2 linked regions of the Bombyx mori genome follow. The protein of the gene in region 1 purifies or fractionates together with the protein of each later gene. This does not show direct contact. Links are inferred from orthologs where the notes say so. Each region holds a gene or a part of one and is shown on either strand. Other genes may lie near its edges.

What was found. The genes of interacting proteins can lie anywhere in the genome.
Region 2: the proteins of kelch-like ECH-associated protein 1B (region 1) and serine/threonine-protein phosphatase Pgam5, mitochondrial purify together in Homo sapiens (affinity purification with western blotting; 6 studies listed by BioGRID and IntAct, with this or other methods). This does not show direct contact. The link is inferred for Bombyx mori from reciprocal best matches to the Homo sapiens genes KEAP1 and PGAM5.

What each region holds. Positions count from the first base shown.
Region 1 is NC_085128.1:13,266,614-13,270,181, forward strand, and holds part of kelch-like ECH-associated protein 1B, read right to left. Parts: intron 2,330-3,568; coding exon 2,165-2,329; intron 138-2,164; coding exon 1-137. UniProt on the Homo sapiens protein: Substrate-specific adapter of a BCR (BTB-CUL3-RBX1) E3 ubiquitin ligase complex that regulates the response to oxidative stress by targeting NFE2L2/NRF2 for ubiquitination.
Region 2 is NC_085122.1:9,467,827-9,472,104, forward strand, and holds the start of serine/threonine-protein phosphatase Pgam5, mitochondrial, read right to left. Parts: upstream 2,857-4,278; 5' UTR 2,569-2,856; coding exon 2,396-2,568; intron 1,788-2,395; coding exon 1,609-1,787; intron 1,130-1,608; coding exon 912-1,129; intron 1-911. Other genes in the region: CYP367A1 (uncharacterized protein LOC101741325), read right to left, coding at 3,263-3,438. UniProt on the Homo sapiens protein: Mitochondrial serine/threonine phosphatase that dephosphorylates various substrates and thus plays a role in different biological processes including cellular senescence or mitophagy. Modulates cellular senescence by regulating mitochondrial dynamics.

The DNA of each region.
Region 1 (3,568 bases):
CTCTCGATAAATTGATTGGCTCTCTTCTTGAGTTCAACGCATCCGTGTTGTTCGGCGAAGTTCGCGATGCCGATCGCGTTCGAGGGGTCCAGCTGTCGCTCGAGGAACGCGCTGCATGCGTTTATTACATTCGTTATCTGTCGGCACACGTCTAAAATAAGTGTAGTCAACAACTTAACGAACAAACAACGTTTGGTATGCAACAAAACTACAAATACAAATAGTTTTTTCTCCTACCTACGCCGAAAGTTCGGTTTTCGTCCCGCTGTACAGGGAAGAAAGTGTAACTTTTCCTCCCTGGGTACTGACAAGTGCGCATGCGCGTTAGTGTCTACGTCTGCTCTCACGCACCTAAAATTCTCCGCCATTGTTGTGCTCGGGTAATTGCAATATTGTGTTTAGTGTAAAAGTGAAATAAACAAAAGGCAATAAAATTTAATAGTGAAGTATTAAACAAAGATGACTTCATCAGACAGTTCTTATTCAATTAGTAGTAGTTTATTTAAAAATTAAAAAACAGTTAAATTGTTTTTTTATGAGAACGTGGGGCTCCCCCCCCCCTGCCAGGGCTTCGCCCCTGGGCCCCGGCTCGGTACTCCACGAACTTTCGGCCTGGTAGGAGAAAAAATAGTATGTGCACCGCGGGAGGAAATGTCCAACTTTTCTCCCTTGGTGCACAATGTACCATTGTACATTATTTATTATGTCCGGTGTAAGAAAACTGTTGCCGAAAGCGAGGACAAGTCGCGATCTGAGCACGCGCAATGTAACAAGAAACGATTTAGTTTATAGCTAAGCGCGTAATGTAACACAAAACGGAGCGAGCAGTGTTTATTTTATTTCGTGAGACGCGGGGTTTCAGTTACTTTCATTTCAGATTGCGGGTTCGCGTAATATTATTTAACATTGAAGTCGTCGTGGTCTAAATGATAAGACGTCCGGTGCATTCGTATTTAGCGATGCACCGGTGTTCGAATCTCGCTGGCAAATAACAATTCTTCTAATGAAATATGTACGTACTTAACAAATGTTCTCGATCGACTTCGACGGTGATGGAATAACATCGTGTAATAAAAATCAAACCCGCAAAATTATAATTTGCCCCTGCCTATTTCTGCCGTGAAGCAGTAATGCGTTTCGGTTTGAAGGGTGGGGCAGCCGTTGTAACTATACTGAGACTAGAGCTCATATCTCAAGGTGGGTGGCGGCATTTACGTTGTAGATATCTACAGGCTCCGGTAACCACTTAACACCACGTGAGGTCAGGGCCGTGAGCTCGTCCACATAAATAAGCAACAACAATTTTTTTAAAATTTGTTTTCAGTTTATTATTAGTTAGTTCTCTACTAGCATGGCTGTTTCGATTCCGGGAACGGTTTTCTTATGTCCTATTGGAGGTTTAATTGGAACTTGGACAAAATTAAGATATTAGTTAACGGATGTTGACAAACTTTGAAACTATTCGAAAAGATTTTTTTTAGAAAATCTTATCTTCCTAATCTATTTCTAAAACAACCTATTTTCGAGATATTGCTAGAATTTTCTGTATTTCGATTTCTCTACGTTCACAAAAAAAAGATGTGTGGTGTCGTTGGACACCGGATAGGAACGAAGTTCCTATTTATAAAAATATTAATTTTAAGTTCTATTCGAGCTATAAAGAAAATAAAACTAGAGGTTTCGCAACGACCCGGTCGCAACAACGGTCATTCGGTAACGTGCGAACGTGTTGTGGTACACTTCATTCATAGTTGTTTGCATAAGAGTTAGTGTATTGCGCAAACGAACGCTCTGAGATCGTGGTCAATGAATGATAATAAAATATGTTATTTTTTGTACGCTATTACAAAGTTAAGTCGTACACTGTGTGCATTACTAATAAAAATCTTACGTTACGGACGTTTTTTACGGGTAGGGTACTCCTCCGCATCGTCCCATAAGGAACTTCGTTCCAAAAAAAAACAGTATTTCTGTCAGTAATTATTATTTTCGGAGAGGCGTTACCCGAGCCCTTAGGCATCACAATGAGAATGTCCACTACACGCTGCAACAGAAGCGTGAATTCACGAGATGGACGGTCGCAATTTTGAGTTATATATGCGTTGTGGCATTTGCAAAATCTAGTGTAAGACGATTTATGTGGTAAGCAGTATCAAATACTAACCTGGAACATGGTGGCGGCCGGGAGCAGCTGGCAGACCGTCACTTCAGTTATCCTGATCTTCCCCGTGTACATAAAGTATATCAGCCAGGCCATCGCTGAAGGACACACGCCTTGTAGCCGGACCCTTGACATTTCACACTCCTTGAGGCCGCTCGTGAACATCGCCTGAGCACAAATACCATATCATACCATTTATCTTAATACCAGAATTAATATAATACTTACATATGTATAATACATATATTATAACAATATAATTTTACTGGTGGCAGGACCTCTTGTGAGTCCGCACGGGTAGGTATCATCGCCCAGCCTATTTCTGCCGTGAAGCAGTAATGCGTTTCGGTTTGAAAGGTGGGGCTGCCGTTGTGACTATATTGAGACCTTAGAACTATATCTCAAGGTGTGTGGCGCATTTACGTTGTAGATGTCTATGGGCTCCAGTAACCACTTAAAACCAGGGGGGCTGTGAGGTCGTCCACGCATCTAAGAATTAAAAAAAAAAACCGTATAACATTAGCTAGGTCTTTAGCTCGTTTATCTGTATTAACTACTATGCAAATGCGAGTACTTCTATTTTTAAATTCCTCCACAGCTGTCCACCCTTAAAGTTTCGAATGGCTAAGTATATCTTAGGAATTAGGAGCGCAATTTTAATCTTATTTCGAAATCCTAACCTTAATCTAAAGGCCGGGCTACAGGCTTAATAATTAAAGGAATTGTTCAAAAATCTTAAATTACTTGATGAACAGTGTGTGCCTTATGTGTTTTGAAATACGTCACGTGTTTGAAAAGCAAAAATTATTACTTTTAAGCTAATCTTCATTGACGTATATCAATCACAAAGAATCGTCAATTCTCAAATCCGTTCAAAACGCAAAGTCACCTGATAATTGCAAAAAATATTAGGTATATACAATATCTGTGTTTTTTGACTAGGTTTTTCATTTTATTTGTTATATTTAGGTTTTTAAAATAAATAAATATGCATAGTCATTCTGAGACGAGTAGCAGTTTTTTTCCGTAATTCTAAGAACCCGATTAATTCTGTTGGATATTTCTTGAGTCTCTAAATCATTTACAAATTCATGATACAGTATAAAAACAAGTTTGTTAATCACTGTAACTGTATGATTCATTTCAGCTAGTAATTTGATTGTTTTTGGAGTTTCGTTATTCTACTATTTTTAAACAAGAATTAGATCATGAGCGCCAAACGTCAGTATTATTCAAGATATTGAGTAAGACCGGGGATCGCCCAAACCCGGGTACACTAAATAGACATCGTTAATTCAAATTTAGTTAAGGACTAACATCGGGGAAGTGAGTATCGGATAGCAGGATGTAGCACGGATAGTGCAGAAACGACAATGAACGTTAATGTTTAAAATTAAAAGGAAATCG
Region 2 (4,278 bases), on another chromosome or scaffold:
ATCTAATTTTACTCCCACATTAATATTAAAATATGTAGGTTATTAAACATTAAAAGTTACCTATCTAATTTATTTACAATCTAATTTTACTCCCACATTAATATTAAAATATGTAGAATATTAAACGTTAAAAGTTACCTATCTAATTTATTTACAATCTAATTTTACTCCCACATTAATATTAAAATATGTAGAATATTAAACGTTAAAAGTTACCTATCTAATATATTTACAATCTAATTTTACTCCCACATTAATATTATTGTAGAATATTAAACATTAGAAGTTACATCTCAATATAAATTCTGCAAGCGGTTAGTATATTAAATGGAATAATGCCAGTCTTGGTCAGTATAATGAATCCAAACAACTAAATATAAATATCTAACTACAACAACAAAAACACATGCTATGTAAATAGCAGGATGCAGTGTTGATTTTTTCTTCTAAATAAATTATCTATTTGTGAGCGCATGCAATATAAGGTTCTAACTATTATACCTGTAATGACACTGTTTAAATTTAAATAATTCCAGACTAAGAGATGAAATAGTGTAATGATATCAAGCGTGGTTGCTGGCAAACACTAATTATTCTAAATAAAAGAAATACAATCTAAAGGTGTGTGGCGCATTTACGTTGTAGATGTCTATGGGCTCCAGTAACCACTTAACACCAGGTGGGCTGAGAGCTCGTCCACACATCAAAGCAATAAAAAAAAAAAAGCTATTCACTAATGACTTACACAAAGAATGAATAACATCATGTTTTAAATTCATACCTGCAATCATCTATTATCAAAGCAATAAAAAAACAGGGATCTCCTTGAACTCGCTTAATTTCAATTTTTATCATTTTAAATTGTACTGAATGATTTTATTGTTTATGAATATTATTAGTAGATTACTTACTCTTGGTTCAGGCCTCCAGTGTCCCACGGGAGGTTCAGGGGGTATCGGAGCACCTTCTTCTAATAATTGACAATCTTTAACTTCAATATCTTTGTCTAAGTGCTTTGCTATAATGGCAGCAGTTTCCTGTGCTCTTGTCATTGTAGATTTAACAAGTAGATCCCATTTTATATCTAAGGATGCTAGTCTCTGACCTGTTAGGTCTGCTTGGATTCTACCTAAAAATAATGTATCATAAATGCATAACACAAAATATTATGATTCGTTCATGGTCATAAAAAAGCTCATGGCCCATCTGGTATTAAGCAGTTACCAGAGCCCATAAACATGCCATGAGACTCTGCCCATCTTGAAACTTCAGAGTTTGGGTCAGCTGTTATACAATACATTTGCAACTTCCATCAGATCAGAACTTAGATAAGTTTCACGACAGAACTAAAGAGGATTAATAATTAAAGAGTATATATGTGTGTATGTCAAATAGGTACATGGTAGTGTGTGTAATATTTTTTTTATTGATTTAATGTATTATTAATACATTTTTTTTTAATATTTGATACTTCTCCGTCCGCACAATTTTCGTAAAAAAAAGGGGTACAAAGTTTTTGCTTCACGTATATTAATATATAGATTTGGTTTGTGAATAAATTTTATTTTCTTTTAAACTACAACATGATTTGAAAAGTAAATAAGTTACCTAGGTCCGTGAGGGTTCTTTCTTTGTCTGTTTCTCCCTGCACATTGTACTGGCCATGTCTGATCAGGAATAGATGTCTGACAGCTTTGCTTCTTGCTTTTTCCAATTTCTCATTGTATTTGTTCTCTTCTTCTGGTTCATCTGACCTTTTTGGTCTAACTATCGACTCTGGTTCTCTACTGGAAAATATTTCAATTATTCTTTTAAATATAATTTTTTTTTATTTTTTATATTTATTACTACTACTTGAAATGCCATAACATCTTTACAAAGATAAAACTGAATCATTAGTTATTTTAAGCTCTTCATTGTGGTTATTTTAAACAGGTCAAATTATATCAATCATGTGACAATGGAAGGGGGAACAGCATAAAATATTCCTATGCTTATATATTAATTCAAAATCATCTATTATAGTTTAGCTTATTCTCGAAACATTAAAAATATATACAGAACAAAGTGAATTTAGATATTATTATGTTTGTACCTACTTGCCAATGATACACTCTTGTTGTTGTTTCTTCCAATGCTATTCAATGACATATATGACTTGCGATTTTTGTTTTTACGAAAATTAAGTATACTTAAATAACTCAAATAATGAATAACCTTTCTTTAGGAGGCCATGAGAATATTAACCGAATAAAATCTAGTTACGGCCACTAATGAATATTAACTACCTATGTAATAACACTCTACAGCTACTATCCGCCGTAAATGTATGTATGATATGGTGTCAGACACTCTTCGTTTAAAAGTATTAATAAAAAAGTTTGTAATTACTTACTGGTCCCAGTTCTTGTCCCATTTCACGCTTGGAGTAAAATTTGTAGTCCATGAATTATAAGCACCGTATTTCTTCTCATTTTTCCCGCTGTTTATCTGATAGTACGCTAAACCACCACCTACAGCACCTAAGCTGATGAGGGCTATTTTATGAAATCTAGAAAGTGAGCCCATTGCAGTAAATTTTTATTCTATATCATTGATTTCGTTCGAATAGTGGAAGTAGATTTCTAAAAGTGGTTATTGTGCCAAATTCCGAAGTAGGTAATAAAATAACCTATTATTTACTGTATCTCTCAAGTCAAAATCAGTCGTGAACTTTTGTCATTTGACAATGTGTATTTTTGACATTGACATTTTAAAAACATTAATTTAATTCACAAATCGGGGCACAGCCAGACCACTGAAGTAGGAAACAGCCAGACCAACCGCTGCCTACCGTTATGTACTCTCCACGATACTTGTTTGAAGAAGGACATATTACCATAGCGCTCGGGAATCAGCGTAGAGGGAACCTCATTACAAAGCCGGATGGTACGTGGCTAAATAGAACACAGGAAACACACTGTAGACGAACGCAGTGGATCCAGTTATTATGGATGAATTTTATTCTGGTGACAGGCGGTGCGATGGTAAAATTCGACTAATAACACCAGTAAATAATACACACGAAATTAAACCGTTTTTTTTTAAATTCTTTATTAGAGCCTTACACCTATTAGGTTAAGTCGGCTATGGTTTAATAGTGTTAATTAAGCTTGCGATTCGCAAAACTTAATGAAATACTGTTAAATTTTAATATTTTATTCTGAAATCCCATTTCTTAAAAATTTATTACAATTTTTAGTAATTATACCATTTTACCAGATTACTGTTTCTCTTTAATTTTCCTGGGATGTAATTTAACTGGGAACCCATCCAATGGAGACACAGATATAGCTATCGATAGTTTGAGATCCTTGTATGTTCTAGATGTTGTCACTTCGAACTCTCTTAGTACTCGAACGCAAATCATTTTTACTAACCTAGTACCGAAGTATCTTCCTAGAAAATAGATAAACATAACTTTAGCTATAATGCAGCTGATATATTATAGTCGTCGTGGCCTAAAAGATAAGACGTCTGGTGCATTCGTATTGAGCGATGCACTAGTCTTCGAATCTCAGGCGGGTACCAATTTTTCTACTGAAATACGTACATAACAAATGCTCACGACTGACTTCCACGGTGACGGAATAACATCGTGTAATAAAAATCAAACCCGCAAAATTATAAATTGCGTAATTCGTGGTGGTAGGACCTCTTGTGAGTCCGCGCGGATAGGTACCACCACCCTGTCTAAATCTGCCGTGAAGCAGTAATGCGTTTCGGTTTGAAGGGTGGGGCAGCCGTTATAACTATACTTGAAACCTTAGAACTTATATCTCAAGGTGGGTGGTGCATTTACGTTGTAGATGTCTATGGGCTCCAGTAACCACTTAACACCAGGTGGGATGTGAGCTCGTCCCAATGTAAGCAATAAAAAAAAAATATAATAATAATAATACCAATCTTTCGTTGACATTGCATTTTAAATATTCTAAAAATCTTCAGAATGAACAAATAAGTGATTTTTTATTTCAGCTGCAAAGAATATTTTTTTTGGAAATCTAAGTAAGGGGGTAGGGGCACATTGTGAATTGTGTAGGTACTGCGATCCCATCTATGTCTGTCATATCATGTTTTCCGGTTCGAGGGCACAGTTTACGCTTAAAGGCACTTCACGTTTTGATATTATGAGCCACCTGTGTGCTTAGTGCGAGTTTTTTAACGTTCTCGATAGCGTAAAATTTAACGCGATTTTGTATGCAGTTGGAACAACGCCCCTAAAGGCAAACGTAGGCA